Linked DNA regions of Ovis aries. The protein of the gene in region 1 binds, or shares a complex with, the protein of each later gene. Links are inferred from orthologs where the notes say so. Each region holds a gene or a part of one and is shown on either strand. Other genes may lie near its edges.

Evidence for each region.
Region 2: the proteins of GRM5 (region 1) and HOMER1 are in contact, whole or in part, in a crystal structure (PDB 1DDV), measured with the Rattus norvegicus proteins. The link is inferred for Ovis aries from reciprocal best matches to the Homo sapiens genes GRM5 and HOMER1. Residues at the interface, in XP_006229721.1 of Rattus norvegicus: Thr1155, Pro1156, Pro1157, Phe1160; in NP_113895.1 of Rattus norvegicus: His12, Phe14, Trp24, Thr70, Ser71, Gln72, Lys73, Phe74, Gly89, Phe90.

What each region holds. Positions count from the first base shown.
Region 1 is NC_056074.1:6,723,928-6,727,741, forward strand, and holds part of GRM5 (metabotropic glutamate receptor 5), read left to right. Parts: intron 1-2,924; coding exon 2,925-3,759; 3' UTR 3,760-3,814. UniProt on the Homo sapiens protein: G-protein coupled receptor for glutamate. Ligand binding causes a conformation change that triggers signaling via guanine nucleotide-binding proteins (G proteins) and modulates the activity of down-stream effectors.
Region 2 is NC_056060.1:10,527,663-10,531,913, reverse strand, and holds the start of HOMER1 (homer protein homolog 1), read left to right. Parts: upstream 1-1,157; 5' UTR 1,158-1,299; coding exon 1,300-1,442; intron 1,443-4,251. UniProt on the Homo sapiens protein: Postsynaptic density scaffolding protein. Binds and cross-links cytoplasmic regions of GRM1, GRM5, ITPR1, DNM3, RYR1, RYR2, SHANK1 and SHANK3.

The DNA.
Region 1 (3,814 bases):
TCTCTCCTGGTTGACCCAGTGGACACAGCCCTTCCACAGCCTCACCAGCCTAACGTAGCCATAGCACAGCCCTAACACCACCCCAAGGGCTTTTTAAGGTGGAGCTTATATATACCTTGGGGCTTCCCTGGTGGCTCAGACGGTAAAGAGTCTGCCTACAATGCAGGAGACCTGGGTTCGATCCCTGGGTCAGGAAGATCCCCTGGAGGAGGAAACGGCAACCCACTCCAGAATTCTTGCGTGGAAAATCCCATGGACAGAGGAGCCTGGTGGGCTACAGTCCATGGGGTCGCAAAGAGTCGGACACGACTTCACTTTCACTTTCTATATTCCTACCCAACAAAAGCAGCCTGTGGGCAAGCGAGTGCCTCCGGAGGCGCATGCACAGTGCCCTAAGTGAGCTCAGCTGTTACATAACCATTATTTACAAAATGTAGTGAGAGGGTGGGGCGAGAGAGCCTGACCATCCCATCTTGGCTAATTTGCTCTTTCCCGACACTCGTTGGGACCATTTCCTTCTCACACATTCACCCGAAGGGTTTTCAACCCGCTCTCCTGGCTGGGAGCCCAGCTACCTGGCATTCTGGTGACTGTTACTGTTAGGGTTACGTTCCATTAAAACTGTGTGCTGGGGGCGAGAGCTTCCCTAGGGTAAAGCTTGGTAGAGTGAATCCAGCTACACTTCTAGCTTCTAGCCTGTGCTTTGCAGCAAAAGTGGCCTCAGCTACCCAAAAGACTTTGTTTCTTATCCTGCCAGCAGGAGAGAAACGGGGGTGAAACGGGGTTGCTGGGAACCGTGTTCCCAATCAAATCCCATACATCGTTTGGCCCATTTCTCCTGTGCCATGTTCCAGAAGTTAGTGGACACTTGGGAAGAGGGAAAGTGATGCACTGAAGACATAGAGGGTGGCAGGTCAGGTTAATGCAAAAATGTAAAAAAAAAAAAAACAACAAACCTGAAACTCCCTAGAAAGTTTTAGGTTAGCAGGGTCCCTTCTGTTACTGGGGATGCATAAAACCTCAATAGCTGGAAATAATGTCCACTGGGGCAGGGTTGGGGCGGGGATATCTCATATTCCAGAATTTTGAAGGGCACCAAGTGGCAAAATACAGGGTAGATTAAATGGACTGGGATTTCAGTGGAAAGAGGAAAAATAGGAAGGCCACACAGTGGAAAGGGACAGATGAAGACATGGGAAGCAGTGTGGCAAAGAGGCAGGAAGTATGCTTGTCATGGGGGCTGTAAAAACAGTGGTCTGTTATCAAGGGAGTGGTCATCTCAAGCAAGACAGGCTATCAAAGTTGCAGTAGGCAGTCCCAAGGCAGGTGGGCTCCAAACAGAATTCGGTCCCTTGCCTGGCAAAGGCCGGCCAGTCTGCCAGCCAGGAGGTCAAGGGAACAACAGGAACCCAGAGAAAAAGGATACCTTCTTGTTAAGAGTTTCTTAGTCTGGGAAACACCGACTGCACAATCACTTTAGGGAAGCAAAGTGCTTGTCAAATACGTGGATCCATGGAACCCAATTTAGACAATCAGAGTCTCTGGGGTCCCGGGTATAGGACAAGTACCACAGGTGAGTCCTATATGCTATCAAGTTTAAAAGCTACCAGCTGAGATAATCAAATTGGGTGGCTAAAGCCTTTGTTTAGAGACTACCGAGGGCTTTCTCTTGGTCCACAGCACCTAGAACAGAACTGTCTGGGCATAACAGAGCCCTAGTTACAGAGCTCTCACATTCCTTCCTGGGGGTAAATCACACCAGGATCTCTCCATATCACCTCCCTGAAGGCCAGGCCACATCCACTGAACATAAGTGAACTTCCTGATAGTCTGTGTTCTGAGAGGCAGCTGTCTCATTTTTTTAGAGGGAAGGAGGGTACAGGCCGTCTGTCTGTAAGTCTGAAGCATCAACTCATTAGAGGCTTTCTTCACCAGAGCTGATTTCAGTTTCCAAAGGGGAGACCAGAAAGGACTACTTGGGAAAGAAAGGCAGGAGAAAGGCTCCAAGAAACCATGTCAATCAGGCGCTACTCATCAAGACCCTAACTTGAACGTAGTGTGCCAGGTGCCAAGGGCAATAATACTGCAATGCTCCCTGGCAGAATTGTTATTCACTTTTAGGCCTAAAAATAAATGTGTGAGGAAAGTTTCTAGGAGGTAAAAAAGTTCTAATTATAAATCAGTGTATGTGTTCACTGAGTTTGTATTTTCCACCCCATAAGTCAGACTAAGTAAAATCGTGTTCCAAGTCAGGAGTTCTTACAGCAAACCCTAGTTAAATGCACCAACCACAGGCCTGCAGAATAAAAACTGAATTGAAACCACTATCTCCTTCCTGGTGACCCCCGACTCCTACCTCTACGGTCCCTCCTGATGATCAAGTTAAGGGGTGCTCCTAGTTCTAACGTTTCCTGTCAGAGGCTCCCAACGTTAGGAAGCTCGTGCTGTGTCCTGGGCATATCTACATACAACCACAATACCGCAAGCCCTTGCTTCTAGGTTTGCAACTTCACCAACTGCCCCACTCCCGGGTGGGCGGAACTGACATTACTGTTTAGTCTCTAAGTCTTCTTGGATGGTTTTTCCGAGCTGGTGGTCTGCAGCCCGCCAGGTTCCTCGGTCCATGGGATTTCCGGGGCAAGAATACTGGAGTGGGTTGCCATTTCCTCCTCCAGGGCTCCCATGAACAACCCCTTTAAGCTTCCTAGTATCCCCTTAGACATCCTTTCGCGGTTATGATGAACGGAAGGCCAGAGACGAGAGAGCTGCCTTGAACTCAAAGGCAGCAAAAAGCCCGCTCCCAGATCTCCTCCCCTGGTGTCCTTGGATGCCTCCTGTCCCCAGTCCGAGCCCTCCAGCCCCCCAGGCCCCCCCACCAGCACGGAGGAGCGCGCAGTCACCTCTCGTCTACCTTCTCTCCGCAGCTCCAACGGCAAGTCGGTGACTTGGGCGCAGAACGAGAAGAGCAGCCGCGGGCAGCACCTGTGGCAGAGGCTGTCGGTGCACATCAACAAGAAGGAGAACCCCAACCAGACGGCCGTCATCAAGCCCTTCCCCAAGAGCACGGAGGGCCGCGGCGCGGGGGGCGCGGGCGGCGGCGGGCCCGAGCCCCCGGACGCCGGCCCCAAGGCGCGCCCCGCCGCGGCCGAGGCCGAGGAGCGCCGCGCGGTGCCGCGCGCGCCGTCGCCCATCAGCACGCTGAGCCGCCCAGCGGGCGGCCTCCCCGACGACGAGGACGCGCGCTCGCTGCGCTCGGAGCCCGCCGCGCGCAGCAGCTCGTCGCAGGGCTCGCTGCTGGAGCAGATCAGCAGCGTGGTGACCCGCTTTACGGCCAACATCAGCGAGCTCAACTCCATGATGCTGGCCTCCCCGGGGACGCCCGGCGCGGGCGCGGCGCTCTGCTCGGCCTACCTGATCCCCACGGAGATGCAGCTGCCCGCCGCCGTGATGACCACGTTCGCCGAGATCCAGCCGCCGCCCGCCGCCGAGGGCCCGGGCGGCGCGGCCTCGCCGGCGGAGGGCGCCGCCCGGGAGCCTTCGCCCTCGGCGGCGGCGGCCGGGCCCGAGGCTGCGGGCGGCAAGGCGGACCTGGAGGAGCTGGTGGCGCTCACGCCGCCGTCCCCCTTCAGGGACTCGGTGGACTCGGGGAGCACCACCCCCAACTCGCCGGTGTCCGAGTCAGCCCTGTGTATCCCATCGTCTCCCAAGTACGACACGCTTATCATCAGAGATTACACCCAGAGCTCCTCGTCCTTGTGAATGTCCTTGGAAACCACGCCGGGGTCCCCCCCGCCCCAAGAAGCCGAGACCCTCC
Region 2 (4,251 bases), on another chromosome or scaffold:
GCCTTTCTCTGCTAACCAGCACCAGAGTCTGTCACCAGTGACAGGAGGGAAGGGCAGTAAGGAATCTGGTATAAAACACACGAGAAATTAGAGACTTGTGATCATGATTAGAAAATCAAATATTATTTTGCAATACCAAACTTTATAACAGAATCAACAGTATTAAATTTGCACTCCAAATCAGAAAAGAAACAAAACAGTGTAGGAGAAAGCTTTAGAAATGGAAGCAGACAGGAACCAAAGAGAAATAGATCTTTTTTTATACGTTTGCCTAAAACCAGTGGTGTTTGCTTTTAAACTTACTCACATCTTGTCCTTCGCTCACAATAGAAAAATCTTTCTTTCCTTCCAGAGATTGGAGAAGATTGCAGTAAAGGGCAAAATGTATGTGTGTCCTCTGGGATTAGACAGTGGAGACGATTGTAGTAGAGGGCAAAAGGTATGTGTGTCCTTTCGGGTTAGATCCTCCATTCAAAAATGACGGGACCTTAAAAATTATATGGCCTTCGCAACAAGTTTGTGCCTTAATTTCCTCCTCTGTAAAATAGGTATAACAATGGTGCTTTTTACGTGGGACTGAAGACTAAATGAGGCAATATGGAAAAAGGTTTTAGCAAAATGAGTATCATATATCAAGTGCTCAGTTAATCTTAGCTACTATTCTCATTCTGACAATAGCATTCAAGAAGCAGAAAGGAGCTACCAGTGTGCTATGCTACGCCTGCAAGTGGCTGTTGGTGACTCCTGGCTGCTCTGCCACGTTTCTCTCACACACACACATGTATAGGCTGCGCCGGGTATTCGTTGCTACCTGTGGCTTCCTCTAGTTGCAGGGAGTAGGGGCTACTCTTTGTCTTGCTGTGGAGTAAGGACTCTAGAGGGTGCAGGCTCAGTAGCTGCAAGACACCGGCTTCTCTAACTGCCTGAAGCAGGCTTAGTTGCCCCGTGGCTTGTGGGATCTTAGTTCCCCAATCAGGGATCGAACTTCGTCCCCTGCATCGGAAGGCCAATTCTTAACTATTAGACCACCGGGGAAGTCCCTTGTCCGTATTAAATTGTGTGCAGAGATAATGATGTAGTCTGGCAGTCCCACTGAGGTCTGTGTTATTAATGTGTCAAGGTCAGTGACAGGGCAGGACACAGTGCCCGGAAATCTCACTGGGCATTTTGCTTTCGTTACCTGCTAGGTACTCTTGCCTGGAAACTCCCATGGTCGGGGGGGAGCCTGCTGGGCTGCAGTCCATGGGGTTGCACAGAGTCAGACATGACTGAGCGACTTCACTTTCACTTTTCACTTTCATGCATTGGAGAAAGAAATGGCGACCCACTCCAGTGTTCTTGCCTGGAGAATCCCAGGGACGGGGAAGGGCTGCCGTCTATGGGATCGCACAGAGTCGAACACGACTGAAGCGACTTAGCAGCAGCAGCAGCAGCAGCAGCAGGTAAGTTTGTCAGAATTCTAATGCTGAGTTTTGCTTCTTTATGGCAGAGTTTCATTTTGATATGCTTGTGCTTTATTAGCTGACTTTAGAACGGTTTGGTTAATCTTCCTTCTCTCTGGTGGGAGGAAAATATATATATGGTGTGTGTGTGTGAGAGTTTAAGTGGCTTCAGGCTTACTTCCCATATTGGGAAACTTGCCCTCAGTACCAAGAGAGTCTATGAAACAGTCCTTCAGCATTTGTGCAGCAAGCAGAAAAGAGGTGGATTCCCTTCCCAGCTGACTCATTGATCATGGTTTCTGCTGAATGGATTCAACTCAACAAATTTGGAATCACTGGTCAGAGACCAAGGTGAAAGTCCTGGGTGTTCTTTCCTGGGACTTTTATCAAGGAAAATTCAGCCCCTTAGATAGAATAGCAGGTTGGTTTTGAACCAGTCATCAGCGACAGTAATTATCATCCCTGTTTTACTAAACTGAGGGGTCATGAGGTTAAGTAACTTCCCACACACACGTTACTCACACAGCAAGTCAAAGGCAGAGCCTGAGATCAAACTTTGGCAGTCTGGCACCTGAGTCTGTGCCTTTATTTCCCTCTTCCACCTGTCTGCAAGTTAGGAGGTGCCTTTTTATTTTGACCAACTTTTTCGATAGAACTTTCAAATATGCAGATTTAAAAGTCTCTTTTGTTGAATCAAAATGACTTACAATAATTGATTTTAATGCTAAGGTGATTTGTACTCGTAAAAATTTTTTGATTTATTATTAGTTCCTTCAAAATTATTATAGAATTATAATATATTTTATTTCGTGACTGAACAATGAGACAGATGGTAGGAGGCACCCTTTTCCGCCCCTTATCTTCCCGTTGTGCTCCTAGTCATCCCTAAAAACCCAGGCGTCCACTACTTCCTCTGCTACTCCTGCAACAATACAGGCACTCATAACTGCACTCATCACTCTGCGTTGCGATTATTTGAGTATCTTTTATGACCCCTGCTCAGCAGGACAGGATCGATATTTTTCTTCATGTGAGCACTTGTGTAATAAAGTCAACAAAGAACAAATGTTCACTGAACTGTATTTGAGGAAAACATTTCAATAGCTTTCTTTTATGTGAAGTGCCTTTTTTGGCTGATCAGGAAATTTTAATATGAGGGAAATTTCTGGAATTACATGAACACTAATTTTCTTATAAAATTTCTCTTGTTTGAAACACCGAGTGTGAAAAAATGTAGAGTAACTTACCTGCGTTTATTCTAAAGAACTGTAGTCTTTGCATCATGGCATATTTGTAACCCATTCTTCGAACACTAATAACCTTGTGGCTATTCATGCTTATTTACTGTTCACTCTAAAATCTTTTTGACTCAAAGTTTTTAAGAGTTACATGGGATCAACTCGAAATCAACAAATGTATCCTTGCTTTTTTATTTTGCTTTCTACACACTGTCATCCCTCATTATAATTCTATGAAGTGAATGTCACTGTACACAGTATAAAATGTTTTGCATATATGTAAACACCAGAACCTAGGAGTGCTGTGTCGTAGCACAATTATACAAGTAGAAGCAAATACATTTATGCAACATAATGTAAACAGTTCACTGTTTTTTTGCAAGAATAAAAGCAAAATAATTATGTTGAATAGTCTTTAATTAAAATTAGTTGAAAACAAGTATAGCTCTATTATATTATGTTGTAACTCACCTAGCAGTCAATTTCTTCAGCTTTTCAAATCCACCAATGTATGTAATTTTAGCTGTTAAAAGTGTTACTTATTTAGCTTGAATTAAAGCAAAACTTAAGCTTATGCTATCTATTGACTGGTTTCTTAAGTAACTGTATTTTAAATTAAAGTTTGAAGTTTATTTATGCCATTCTCAAATGATTAGATGTGATTTCATATGTTTAAATTATAAACATATTGGTGTTTACAATATTCTTTATTATAAGCAGTATGGATCCTGGATCTCAGATTTCCTAGGAGGCTTCTAGGAACTTGTGGTAAATACTTACTAGAGGATATGAGCTTTCATTTTCTATTTTAATCTTTATTCTTTTAGAAAGAGATATTATTTAATTCTCCTATATTTACATTTTCATATGATATTGCAGAAGAGACAGTGAATTTATGGAACCTAACTTCCAAATTCCAAAAGACATTTTATATTGTGAATCTTTGCCTATAATGAAAGTCTATTGAACCAGCTGAAGCAGTCACAGGATACCGAAAGAACAATTTCCTCTCTTATACTACATTTATAACTAGTTTTGAAGATTTCAAAGAGACAATCTAGAACCAAACTATTTTTGCAAATAGTCTTGAAGAAATTTTTCTCTCATGTGCATGCTTTCATGTGTAAAAGGAAACCATAACTTTTGTGAAATCATCTTGCTTTTCAAATGTATGTTTGTGTTTAAGTGTGTGGCTTGCCCAGTTTAAAAACCACAAGGGGAAAATTATTTAATGGCGTGCAACCACACAGACTTCACAGACTGAGATTTTCTTGTTTTGTGTGTCTGCATGAGATTTGTTTTGCATACTGCTAAATATCCAGAAAAATTTTAATAGCAATTATGGTTTTCTCTATATTCAGCCATCATCCAGGCATTTTAACAGGTGTGGGAATGGACAAACGAAGGAAATGTAATCTTTCATCTCTGAAGTGCCTGAATCTTTCAAATGCCTCCCCTGGCAAGCAGTTCACACTCTTGGTGCTTTGCTCCAGCAAACAGCAAAGCTAACTTTGGTCACTACCAGCGCTTCCTTTTGTGCAAGTCCAAGTTGACCCTGTTCGACTTATGTT